Linked DNA regions of Coturnix japonica. The protein of the gene in region 3 purifies or fractionates together with the protein of the main gene of each other region. This does not show direct contact. Links are inferred from orthologs where the notes say so. Each region holds a gene or a part of one and is shown on either strand. Other genes may lie near its edges.

Region 1 (4,528 bases), on a different chromosome or scaffold from region 3:
GGTCTGGGGGCAAAAACCCTTTTTCTTTTGCTTTCAGCCCTGTGGGCACAGAGGGAGCTCTCTTGCCTTAGCATGGATTTGGCTGACTATGGCCCCCCGGGGCTGGCCCAGCTTCTCCCGGTGCCTCCCAGTGTCCGTCTGTCCAGCAGGGAACAGCCCTGTCCTTGTGCAAAGCTGTACAAAGGGCTTTCTGTGGTGGCCGGGCACGCTCCTGGGGCGGGTGGAGACAGCCTGAGTGCTACTGGAGCCTCAGAATGGGCTCTTTTTCCCCTCTCTTCCACACTTGGCCAAGGAGCCGTGCTGCCACCAAAGCGCAGCTGCTTGCTGTGGGGGGCAGCCACCGGAGGGAGGGGGCAGAGATTAAAACACAAAAGGGGGTGAATTTTCACAGCAGCTGCTTGATCCTGCCCCAGGCGGCAAGGAAGCAAATGCACGAGCTCGCTCAAAAACAAGGGACAAAGCCGCACTGTGCAGATGAGGCCATTTCCAGGTGTACCTGCTCTCAGCCTAAACCTGCTGCCCGTGACACGGCAGGAGGTCAATGAGCCCTTCCCTTCCCCCCAAGGGATGGATGCTGGTGGGTGAGGTGCTGGGTGGGAGCAGAGGTGGGCTGAGCATCTGCACCCATTGCCCACATCCCAAATAACCAGCAGGGCTGGGGTCCTGCATCCTCAGCGTGCTGACAGGAAGCAAAGGCCAGCTCACCTTCTGGATCCTGCTGGCTTTCTCCGTGCAGCTCTCCAGCTCCCGTCGCAGCCTCTCATTGTCCAGCAGCAGCCTCTCATTCTCCCGCATCACAGCATCCACCTGGGCCAGCCGGCTGCCAGCTGAGGCCGCCTGTGCACTCACCAGGGCCTCCACACCAGCAGGGCTGAGAGAGCCCAGCGTGCTCGGTGAGGGCAGGAACGCTGCGGGGACGGGTGCTGGCATCAGCCTGCTGGGGGGAAAGAGAGGGGTGCTCAGCCACTTCATGGGGATGGACACACTGGCCACCACAAGCACCCTGCCCACATGTTCTCCTCTGTCAACCAACCCGTGTGGATACGCAGAGCTCCTGAAGCACCTTTGGACAAAAGAGGTGCTGGGTGCCCATGGGTCATGCTCAGGAGGATGAGTGCTCAACCTGCCCTGCACAGCTGGGAAGGGTTGGCTTTGGGCACACAAAATACGAAGGAAACCCCATCTGACAGCACTGCCTGCAGCTTGAGCACCTCCACACCCAGGATTTAAGCACCTGAGAACATCAGGACTTGACTGCTAGGCCGGGGGGGGGGGGTCAGGGGGGCTCAGTACCACCCTGCTGCTGGGTGATGCAGTCAAGAAAAACCCTCAGCAAAGATGTATGTTGGAAACCTGCAGCACTACCACTTCTCCTCATGGTTTCCTGGGCAAGGAGAGGGCTCCTGGCTCCAAGCCTTGCCACCACACTGTTAATACAACCCCATTCTATCACCCAGAGTTCCTCGACATCCCATGGCTGCCTCAGCCATCCTGAGCCATGTGGCCGCCGTGCTGGAGCCTGCATTCCTATGGGGTGATCCAGGAGCGAGGAAGAACAAATGCATCTTCCTCACAGTTCTGCTTCCCCTCTTTGTTCCCTGGAAGGAGAGCTGTTTCCTGCCAGAAATGCTATCACTCCCTGCCCTGGTAAGTCAGCTTGGAGCTCCTGCCTATAGCAATTCCATGCCAGAACACCACACTTCCCAGCCTTCCCTGAGCACCAGGAGATGCCCAAATCTCCACACCCACAGACCTCCAAGCAGAGGCAGGTTTTGCTGGAGGTGTCAATGGGCTGGAAGGAAGGAGCAGTGCTCAGCGCTCCCATACACTCTGCTGGAAGGCACGGGGCCGGGGGCACCCTCAGCCGGGGAGGCCAGGCAGCTTTTTCCACTCCGAGCAGCACATTTTCCTTCCACGCTGGCTCACGCCTGTTCCGAATTTAGCCATTTCCTGACCTGCCTCCAACTCCTGCATTAACCCCGAATCCCTCCCGGAGCAGCGGAGTTTTCACTGCCGGATGGAAATCCTGAACCAACCGAGGCAAACCGGGGCCAACCAGCACCCAAGAAGCGGCGAGGGCTGTGGGTTACCTGACTTCGGGGTGCTGGAAGCCGGCCCCGTCCCGGGAGCAGGGCCGGGACAGGTAAGCGACGGCCGCCTCCTGGCTGGGGAGGATGTAGGGATACTCCGGTGGAGGCCCGCGAGGCTCCGTTCCCTCGGGGCGCTGCCCTCGCAGGGTGTATTGCCGGGAGAGCTGCGGGAAGCTGTGGGACGAGCTGATGGGGCCGTGCGCTTTGGCCCCGTTCCTTTCCAGCGACATCTGCATCAGCCGTTCGCTCAGCGACCGCACGTGGCCGTGCTTCAGCTCCTTCAGGGCGTCGTCGGGGCGTCGGGTGCCGCCGTGCTGCTGCCCTGCCCGCTGCCCCGCGTAGTATTGCGAGTGCGCCTTGGCCTCCTCGTAGCTGGGGAGCTCCTCGCCCTTGTGCTGGGGCTGTGCCGGGCGGTATCCGCCGTGCTCGTTGTACAGGTGGTCGGCGTGGTGCTCCTGGCCCTGCGGCTCCTGCCGGGCGGACTGCGGCACCATCTGGCTCTCCTCCTGGGTCAGACTCTCCAGCGACGAGCGGGGGCTGCCGGCCGTGCCGCCGCGCAGCGCCTGTTGCTGGATGGCCAGCAGCGTGCGGTTCTCCGTCAGGTTCCCGTAGCGCAGCTGCTCCTGGATCAGGCGCTGCAGCACCGTCCCGCTCGAGTCCTCCGCCGTCCTCATCTCCGCCGCGTTCCGTCCGTCCGTCCGGGGGCTCTACGAGCGACGCGGGCACCTGCGGGGGGACACGGGGACGTCAGCGGGATTGGGGCCGGAGGAACGCGGCTCTCCCCACGGCTGTGCGGCTCCTCGGGGACGGGGGATTGGGGGGAGGGCGGCGGTACTTACCGGGGCATGGCGGAGCGGCGAGGCCGTGCTGCCGCTCGGGGAACGAGGCCACTGCCGACTGCGGGCCCCGCCGGTAGCGGGGGCCGGGCTCGGGCGCTGCTATGCCCGGAATGCGGGGCCGGGCCCGCCCCGCCCCGCCGCCACCTCCTCCTCCTCCCCGTCCTCGCTCCGCCGCCAGGGGGAGCAGCGCCCGCCCCACCGCCATTCGGGGCTGGGCCGGTCGGTGTCGGCGCTGGGCCGGGGGCTGCCGAGGGGTTGGGGCAGCAGCTGCCGCCCGGGGGGGCTCCGAGGCTGTGCCCGCCAGCTGCCCGCCTGCATAAATCTTCGTGCCTGATCCCGGCCCCGAGAGACGCGCCATTGTCTCCCGGCCCTACAAAAAAAAACCGCGGCCCCATCTGCTCTGCCCTCTGCCAGCGCCGCTCCCCTTCCCCAGCGCAGCCCCCCGACCCCCGCCTCTCGTGCGGGATACACGCGTGCTTTGCTCCTTCCCTTTGTGGGGTGCAGCAGGTCGGGACCCGCGGCACGGAGCCCGGGGCTGCCCGGCTTTGCGGAGCCGCTTCCCCGTCGTGCGGCCGCAGCGGAGGAGCCGCGGGACCCCCAGCGCCGGGCACGTCCGCCCGCGGGGCCCCGAGACGGCAGATGGTCCGAGGGGCGGCCGAGGAGCAGGTGCAGGGAAAATTGCTAATTAGATACGGGACATTAAGCTCTCATTCTTGAGAGAGGGAATTTGGCACCTTCCAAAGGCCGAACAAAGCCCGGAGCGCGCCGACGGGCTCTTCCTTTTGCCATCCTTTGGGGGGCTTTGTCTGGGGGGAGGAAAGGGACTGGCTGTGGGTAACGCTCTCTGCTCGGCCAGACACCGCTGCATCCTTCAGAGGCACAGATGCACGCTGCACAACCTGAAATTCGGCCAGCCTCCCCTGCCGGCCCCCAACCATGGAGGTATCGGGCTGACGTTCAGCACCCAGCCGCTCACTGACTGATAACGGGGCTGAGAAACGAGCCCTGGACACAGAGCAGGTGTGGGCGAGATCCCAAACCCTACCGGGGGTCTCTTAGTGGGATGGGGGCACCCAGCATGCCGGAGGTCCCAGCTGCCCCCCCGGCTCATCCAGCAGCCTTATCTATGCCTGCGTCATCCCGCTTCCCTTCCTATCTCCACACCGCTCTATTTTTGGCAGCAGGAAACCCCTCCTGGGCTGATAACAGCACTTTGGAAAGTGATCTGAAGAGGAAAAGCCCTCTGCTCCTCTTTTTCTTTCTAACACGGCAGATATGGGAAGCTTCCACCTTTCCATGCTCCCCCTGGACGAGCCTGACCAGCTGCTGGCTTCTTCACACAGCCCTTCCCCATCCACAGACCCACACAGACCCACTGCTTCCCATCAGAAGATGAAGCACGTGGAAAGGTGAAAGCAGCCCACAAAGCCCAGACTTGGCTGTTGTGCAGGGAAGGGATGCAGGGGCTGGAGATGGAGATGGAGATGTGCGGTGCTGTGTCAAAGGCGAGATGCTCGGAATGCTTGTGACTGCCAATAGCCATCCCGGAGCTTCAGATCCTCTTAGCTGTGAGATTAGATATCAGATGAGTCGGTATCT
Region 2 (4,659 bases), on a different chromosome or scaffold from region 3:
AAAATGCCACCAAACTCCTCTGAGACATTTAAAGTACCCTACAGCGATGTGCCAAGACAATGTGATCTTCAGTGCAAAGCAACTGAGACTCCTTATGACTTTCATCCCCACTGCAACAGCATCCTGGCTGGGATATCTACTGATCTCTGTCTGACCTCCTTCTTCTTCTTTCTTTCCTTTTGTTGGAGACTTTTGCTTTACAGACCCAGCTGAGCTCCCATGAGGAGTGCTGCGGCGTGCTCCCAACACAATGCACAACACCAGCTCTACTGCTCACACAGCTTCCAAGCGGAGCTGCTGCACTTGTGACTGGTTCCACCCACCTGTATGCACTGGGGCTCCGGGTCCAAATGGGACTTGAGCTGCTCACCTACAGCTCTGCATCTACTGAGGGAAAGAAACTTGTGGCTGTGTTGAGCAGATGGCTGCTGGATGCTGAGGGGGCAACCCAGTGCTCTGCTGCCAAACGAGATGTGTGAGGTCCTGTTAACGTACCTGCAGCATATCAGCTCTGCTGTGAGCAATAAAGAAGGAAGTCAAAACTTTGCTCATGATAAATACCTGATCCAGGCAGAGAAGGACCAACAGAGCGTGCCTCCAGGCTGCGGCGAGCCAGTAACACAGCAGGGCACATCACTTTTCTGCCAGGGGACAGAAACCTATCTGCCTGCCACAAAGCTCAACTCCATCTCATGCCCTGAGATAAACAATCACAGCAAAGCCCTCTGCAGGCGAATGTACTGCTCCATGCCAAGAAACACACTTACTATGCAATCTGCAACTAAACACTCAGCGTGCCTTCAGCTGCGCCCACCCTGCTGCTGAATCACAGAGCAGCAGCAGAAGGGAACGCTCGCTTCAGCCATGACTTTTTGCCATGTGTGGTATTAAACCAGTTTGGTAGCATGCTCTTGTTCTCCTCACATGTAAGCGGTCTCTTTCCATCACAAAGTACCAACACAAACCTGTTGGCCTGCCAGAGCTTTTGGTCCACAAGTCAACTGTTCCTCCCAAGTACTTACAGCCCACTCATCATTTGAAAGCCAATGAGAACTGACACCTGGGGCAAAGAAAATCTGCTGACTGCAGGAAACCCTCCTATCCAAAGCGCTTCTCTCTGAGTGTGCAGTCAGCTCCTTCAGGGCCATTCCAGAAGCAGCTCCCTTGCAGCTCACACATCCAAGGACCACTGCATCACAGCCACGTGTGGGAGCCTCCAGGGCAAGTACTGCTGAGCACTCATCCTCCTGTAGGCCTGGTTACCCCCATGGCCTCCTGTGGGCCCAGCCACATTCCTGCCCCACATGGCACGTAGGTGTGATGCCATCCTGCTCCTTGGCAGGCTCCTTTCCATCCAAACGTGCTCAGGTAACATATTTTGAGCACGTGAAAAATGGTGAACGTTGTGAAGAGAAGAACCTTCTGAAGGGAAGAAGTTCCCAGCCAGCAAAGGTGGACACTTCCAAAGGCTCCAGGCTGGTGCTCAGCGCTGTCCTCTCATGGCTGCTGCACTATCTGCGCTATGAAACTTAAAGATTAAGAAGAAACAAACATTGAAACAAGAGTTTCCTCTACCTGTGATGAGTAATGGTTATATGAAAGAAACTGAAAAGCCATAACCCAGCAGCAGCAATACTGACACACAATGTGAAGGCATGAACCTGCCAGCACACACAGCAAGGAGCCACCTCACACCTAGGCACGCACCACGTCCTATCACAACTGTGCTTACCAAAGTAGTCAGCCTTGGGCCGCGCATCCATCTCCTGCTCCAGGCGCTGAGTGAGTGCTTCCAGCTTCAGCTCAGCTGCAGACGGCCCCTGCTCTGGCTGCTGGAGGGTCTGGCAGGGCAACTTCACCTTGGCCACGCCGCAGCCCTCCTGGTGCCCGCTGTCAGGATGGAGACTGCTCGTGCCCTCCTTGAAAGGCTGCTTTGGTGCATCTGAAGTCAACGGCCCACGTGCTGCTGCCAAGTGTGAGGTACCCAGCTCGGGGCCGCCGTTGGGCCGGTGGTTGTGGCCATGGGCCACAAAATGACTGGTGGGACTGGGGTGGACGCCAGCTTGCTGGTAGTCTATGCTGGGCCCCCCAGGAGCAGAGCTGGGTGGGAAGGGCCGTGAGCCGCCCTGGTACCACAGCTGGCCGCCATCTGTGGTTGGCCCATCCACGCCGGCCTGTGGCCCACAGGGCTCGGTGAGGGCCAAATGCCCGGGGCTGGGCTGTGCCGCAGAGGCTGAGAAGGAGGACCTGTGCTGCAGAGCAGCTGCTGGCGCCCCATCTGAGGGACCTGCAGGGCCACGCACCTGTGAGAAGGAGGAGGACCTCTGCCCGGCTGGCTTCAGCTCTTGGCCCTGGCTGCTCCTCCTGCTATCACCACCGTTCTCCTGAGGGTCTCCACGAAGCTCCGCTTCCCAGCTGCGCCGCCCAGCCTGGGAGCTGGGGGACGGTGGTTCCCCAGGCACGGGGAAGGCTCTGCAGGTGCCTGTTCGCCCGCTGCCAGGGCCCTCAGCTGCCACCTGGGGCAGCGGGCTGGTGGGTGAGCCCAGGGGCGGCTTGGCACCACGAGGTGCGGGCAGGCCGGGCCGTGGTGCACCCAAACCAGCCCCACCATTGAGGGAAGCGGTGGCCATCAGCATCTCCTGCTGCTGCTGCTGCTGCTGCTGCTGGAGGTGGATTTTGGCCATCTTGGTGGCAAAGACCCGCCGGGTCTCCTCGAACTCCGGGTTGTTGCCAGCCGCTCTGTCCACTCGAAAGAGCCCGTCCTTGGATGCCTCGTACATGTTGAGGTCCTCGATGAACTTGCTGGCCTCCAGGCCCAGGTCGTCGTACTTGTCCATCCTGCCCCGCTCTCCGGCTGCTGCCACCACCACACGCCGGGGACGCGCTGTGCGGGGCGGGCTGTCGGCCCGGCTCAAGTTTCTTTCTCCCCTCTTTCCCGTCCCTCTTCCCGCAGCGCAGAGGACGCGAAGCCGGAGCTCTCGGCGGCGGCAGAGTCACGGCGCGGCCCCGGCTGCCTCCCGCCGCTGCCAGTCCCGCCCGCCGTGCCGGGGGCGGGGGCCGGGGCCGGGGCGGAGCCGGCGGGGCGGTCCCGCCGCGTTGCACTGCGGCCCCTGGGGGCCCGCGGGGGTTGATGCTGGCGGAGGGAGCGGGGCGAGGCCGGGTCGGGGGCGTCGGTGCGGCCGGGATGGGGTGGGGTGGCGCGTGGGGAGCGGGCGGCTGCACTGGAGTGGTTGAGGGCCCCGTCCAGGCACTTACGGAGTTCTCCAAGGATGGGAGCTCCCTCATCTCCTCTGCTTGGCACTGCCCAGCTGCCGGCACCCTGCTGCCCTGCTATCCTCCAGGGCTGAACCACCAGCGATAAGCAGAGTTGTGAGTGCCAAGGATAAGGCAGAGCTGTGAGCTGCCAGGGAAATAGTTTGCATTCCTGGAGCAGGAGCTGCAGGAATGCACTCACCGGCTGAGCCGCCCTCATTTATTGGAGCATAGCACCATCCTGACCTGCCCCGGCTGACAGGCCAACCAAAGACTGAGCAAATCCCTGCTCTGGACTCTGAGGGCTGCAGTGCCCCTCAGTAAATACACTGAAAGGTGCAGGGTGGGGTGCGTGTGCTCAGCCTTGTAACGCTTCCCCAGCACTCGGGACAGGGCCCAGATGTTAAGGAATGTGTTGTGAATCAGGCTGTGACCAAACTGTGTTAGAAACCAGAAAATAATGCCCTCCCTTTCTAACAGCTCCCTTGCAAGAACTCTGCTTAGCAACAGGGACAGCTTGCCCCCCCCCCTCCCAACATGGCACACTCCTTACAGTGAGCTGCAGCCCCTCCAGGGAGCAACGTGTCACCTGTTACAGCCACCGCAGCCCAAGCTGACAGCATTGGATTCACAGAGTGGGGCTGGGGAGCAGCAGTAAATCACTCAGGAGGCCTTCATTGCCTGCCGAGCTTCTAAGTGATGGATAGCACTGAGGCACAAGGGGAAAACAATTCCCTCTGTCAAACCAACCCCTCTATCTGGCCTCTCTGAGCCTTGCTGTGCCCTGAGGAGGCTGAGGGAAGAAGCATCCCCAGGCAGGGCTGTTTTGTGTTCCCTTTGCAGAAAAATCAGCAGCTGAAGTGTGAACTGTGTTGGCCACGACCAGAAGCAGGTAAGGGCAGCTCTGAGAGCGGGGATTGCTAGGCTGTGCTGTGTCAGACAGGGCAGGGGATAAGGAGCTGAGGGCATGGCAGCCCCAGCAGGTATTCTGTGCTGAGCAGGTTTCATCTAGAGCCACCAGAGGCTGACAACAGAAGTAACTGACTCTTGAGTACTCCATCAAAACCAAGGAGCTATGAGGTTAAGCCCATAGAGCAACTAAAGCCTGAGCCTTGGTGTGTGATTGTGCCGGGAAGGAAAATGCTGGCTGCACTGAGCTCCAGGCAAGGAAGAGAGATGCTCAGGCTCAGCTTCAGGTGTTACCACTTTTGTTTTAAATGTTAAAACAATAAAGCAACGGAATTGGTACTGAACAGCAGATCTGCATTTCTTTGAGAGAATAAGAAAACACGACAGCGAGTAGATGGATGGCAGCATAAACCCCACTGCTTTTTTCCTGGGAGGAATTTGTTGTGTGCACAGGCAAAGAGTCATGGAGAAGGCAATCATACGTTGCCCTTGCACCTC
Region 3 (3,863 bases):
ATACAACAGCACCCTTGGTTCAGTAATAGCTCTCCAGTGCAACTCACATGAAACCTCCCTACCGAGCAGTTGCTTTTTTTCATAGCAATTAAGAAACTGTTTTTGACAAAGTATCTTGGGAACCCTCTTTCTTCAAAACCATTTTTCCTCCTCTGTTGTACAGAACCTCCACTCTCACACTTGGCAGATCCCTAACTTCCCTCCCAAAATATATGTATACAACCCTCAGCTCTGGCCTCCTCCCATACACTGAAGCCAAGATCCAGATCCTATTTCTCTTTTAAATGTATGTTTTTTCCCTTTGAACCTGAACAGTAACAAAGCTGGCTTGTCCAGACACCTTCTGTCCCCATAGAGTCTTACGGTAATTAAAAGTAACATTTCACATGTCTGAAGGGGAACATCTCCTGGAAAGGGGGAGAATTAACCAGCTGGACTTCCCCCATGCTTCAAGACAGAGCCTGCACAATTCTGCCTTCAGTGCCTGTCTGAGAACACGAGCAGCCTTCACCAGCAGAAGCCCCTGCGCTGATTTCCAGGATCCTCAGAATTCCCTGTCTGCAGCAGACCCCCCTCCTTTTGAATAACATTTATCTTGAACTGAAATAAGTGAAAATAAGCATTTTGAGAGGAAGAGTGAGTGATGGGAAGAGGCAATGGGGGAAATGGTGGATGGAGATGAAGCTGACTGAGAAGCAGGCTAAAGACCCCTTAAGTATTCACCCATAAGGCTGCTGCTTTGACTGAAGTTTTCATTTCACACCTGCAATCGAGGCCATTAAGGATGATAGGTGGGCAGCCAGAATAAGCAGCAAGATCCCCACAGCATAAAAATGAAATCCATGTGAATTAAGGATGAAAAAACTTGCAGAACAGGTAGGGTACCTCAATCCATACTAAAGGAAGCGTTTATTGCTTTAACGCATAACAATTACTGTGTTGTATTCTTGGTTAATTCTAGAATAATGCGATATTCAGATGGCCAAAATCTCTTGAGTTTGTGGTGTGTTATTCCAGCCAGAAATGAGGTTGCTAGGGGAAGGAGCTGTTTTTTGTTTATAGTTATCTTTGAGTTATGAAGTGAGCAAAAGCTGAAGGGCCAAAACAGAACTGATGCTATTAGTTTCTTTTCTTACTTCTTTAGAGACTGCTCCCCAACTTTCTCAGTCTTAGGAAAATATTCACTAAATCCAAGCAGTGCAACACAACCTATAGTTGCACTGAGGACAAACTATGAACTACCACCACTATATTGACCTTTCAAGAGATTTTTAGAAGCATCAAATGTAACCTTGGCAAGCAAACCACCAGATTTTCTTGAGCAGAATCACAGAATCACAGGGGTTGGAAAGGACCCCAGGAGATCACTGAGGCCAACCCCCCTGCTAAAGCAGGCTCCCTACAACAGATGCACAGATATGCACCAGACAGGTCTTGAATATTTCCATAGAGGGAGAGCAATGTGAGAATCAAATTAATTGACCCTAACCAGTTCTAAGGAAGGTCAGGTAAGTTATTACCCATCATGTATTAATGATAGCTTTCATTAAAGCTTATCCTTAAACACAAAAGTAGACTAGTCATATTCTAGCTAATGGCACCTGAAGGGAGAAAAAATACAAAATTTCCATGTTTAAAAATTACAAACAGAACTGCCAGAGCAATCATCAGAACTTGGCAGCTTGCCTTCAGACAGCCCTATCAGTGAGTCAGCTCAGTTTGAGCGCTACTACGAGACGTGAATGAAGCTCTCAAAGTGCACCTCACTGAGACCCGCGCCTAGAACAAATCCCAGCAAGGATCCCAAGATCATTTCAGCTGGCCAAGAGATGATTACTTGCATGGTATTATTACTAACATATGTTCAAGAGACAACTTTCAGTCAGGTATTACATATTCAAGGGAAAATATAGCATAGTAAATCTACTGCCAAGTTAAACTGTGGCTTTGGTGAATAAGCAGCTGCTATCATGTAATAGGCAGGAAGAACTGGAGCAAAGAGAAAGCCTTTCTCAGATTTTTTCAAGGGCTGGAAAGTATTGTCAGTATTACCATGGTCTCAGACCTGGCTGCTGAGTCCTTTCCTATGCAAACGTAATACTTTCCTACTGTGGATGCCCCTGCTTTATTTTACTTTCTTGTATGAGGACATACTACATCCTGTCTCAGCTTTTTCAAACAGTCTCCCAGATCTGCACCCAGGCCTCTAAGTGAAAACAGTCTGGTAAAGGGAGGCGTTGAACAGCTATTATCACTTCCCAGAGAACTCGCCTTTATACCTTTTTTTGAGTGACTTAAGATAGTAATAATTAATTTGACCCTATTTATTATATTAAAAAAAAATAATAATTACTTTAGCCATTTCTTGCTCCAATTGTAATCTTCTGTTGATTTTCTGCTGGTAGGTTTTTATGACATTTTCTACATGTTGCTCCATATAGAACTTGAAAGCAAATGGTGAGTAGCTCTTTATTCGGGATTCTCGCTTTTCCTCATCCTTGCCATTTTTTCTCACAGGCACCGGAGATGTCTGGATCTGCTTTTTATCCTTGCCTGGTTTTTCAGCTTTAGTGTTTTTGCTGTTTTTGTCATTTCTCTCACTGTTCTCCTCAGCCTTATTGCACGTTGAACTGGGGACTACACGCAGGGTCTGCTCCACACCCATGCATAAGCAATTGATATCAAACTGCTCAGAGCTGCCGGGAATTAACAAGTGCTTGGGATACGGTGGTGGTGGACACCGCAGCTCCTGGTTACCATAATCCACATCTAGTTGATAGGCGTTGGCTGCTCCAACAGCTGGCACGTGCTGTTCAATGATCTCTAGGCCATCCACGGCCGGTGCCTGGGCAGGTAACCAACCAGGATGGGAAGGTCCCACTGCAGTCTGAGGCTCAGGTCTCATCACTCGCATGCTCTTCACTGGCTGGAGAATATGAGCAGATGTGACCGCTGTGATTGTATTTGGAGATGCAATGGAAGGATCAGGTTTTCCTGGAGGAACCTGTCTCATAGACACGGTCACTTGCGGTTGTTGCTGATGGTTGTTAAAGGAGTTTGTTCTGCTTGGCACTGAGGCATCAGGTCTGAAGGACACGTGTTGCCGTGGAGATGATTCTATTCCTGGGTTTTGTAAAGAATCTCGCCGTGAAGGCGTTGCTGCCTGCCACTGCTGAACTTGAGGGTTATTCATGTCATAGAGGTCCATGTTTAGGCTATTTCTAGATGGAGTTAATAGATTTTGTGGTGGGCTGTCTGAAAAATCGTTACCAAATGCTGGACCTCTAGATATCACGTGCATTTGATGGGAGGGAGGACTTGTCTGTTTGTGATGAGAATGTGACATATACAGGCTTGCTGGTGCCTGCTGAAATGCATGACTAGCATTATTCTGAACAACTGCCCCTTTATTTGGGAGATTGGCGTAGCCTCCCTCCTGCTGCATCTTGTTTTGGAAGGATGGGCTCCGCTGAACACCATACCCCATGGGTTCCCCCTGCACCATCATGTGCTGCCTACTGTAATGTTGGCTGCTGGAGCCATGGGAGGCCTGCAGCTGCAAGGCTGGGCTGTTGTGATTAGACACAGGATAATTAATCACAGAAGATTCAATACTTGCAGGGTATGTTTTCTGCTGATGGCTTGTTGGTGTGCTGTGAGTGCCTACGCCAGAGGGTCGCTGTACAGGCGCATTCATAGCAGTAGGCTGCGAAGCAGAGATTAAATAGTCCATGTATGGCCGTGGGACTTCAGTCAGCATGTTTGCACCTTCAGCTGCAAAGCCTGTCCCTTCATAGGCTGCATTACTGATCTGATGGTAGGACGGAAAAGATTCGCTCGATCCTTCAAAGCTTGGCCTGCGG

What was found. Proteins that work in one complex are often made in the same cells at the same time.
Region 1: the proteins of LATS2 (region 3) and AMOTL2 purify together in Homo sapiens (affinity purification with western blotting; 3 studies listed by BioGRID). This does not show direct contact. The link is inferred for Coturnix japonica from reciprocal best matches to the Homo sapiens genes LATS2 and AMOTL2.
Region 2: the proteins of LATS2 (region 3) and LIMD1 purify together in Homo sapiens (affinity purification with mass spectrometry; 3 studies listed by BioGRID and IntAct, with this or other methods). This does not show direct contact. The link is inferred for Coturnix japonica from reciprocal best matches to the Homo sapiens genes LATS2 and LIMD1.

Annotation. Positions count from the first base shown.
Region 1 is NC_029524.1:3,377,450-3,381,977, reverse strand, and holds the start of AMOTL2 (angiomotin-like protein 2), read right to left. Parts: upstream 3,062-4,528; 5' UTR 2,930-3,061; intron 2,817-2,929; 5' UTR 2,765-2,816; coding exon 2,091-2,764; intron 938-2,090; coding exon 706-937; intron 1-705. UniProt on the Homo sapiens protein: Regulates the translocation of phosphorylated SRC to peripheral cell-matrix adhesion sites. Required for proper architecture of actin filaments.
Region 2 is NC_029517.1:39,419,756-39,424,414, forward strand, and holds the start of LIMD1 (LIM domain-containing protein 1), read right to left. Parts: upstream 3,062-4,659; 5' UTR 2,838-3,061; coding exon 1,733-2,837; intron 1-1,732. UniProt on the Homo sapiens protein: Adapter or scaffold protein which participates in the assembly of numerous protein complexes and is involved in several cellular processes such as cell fate determination, cytoskeletal organization, repression of gene transcription, cell-cell adhesion, cell differentiation, proliferation and migration.
Region 3 is NC_029516.1:159,847,200-159,851,062, reverse strand, and holds part of LATS2 (serine/threonine-protein kinase LATS2), read right to left. Parts: coding exon 2,354-3,863; intron 1-2,353. UniProt on the Homo sapiens protein: Negative regulator of YAP1 in the Hippo signaling pathway that plays a pivotal role in organ size control and tumor suppression by restricting proliferation and promoting apoptosis.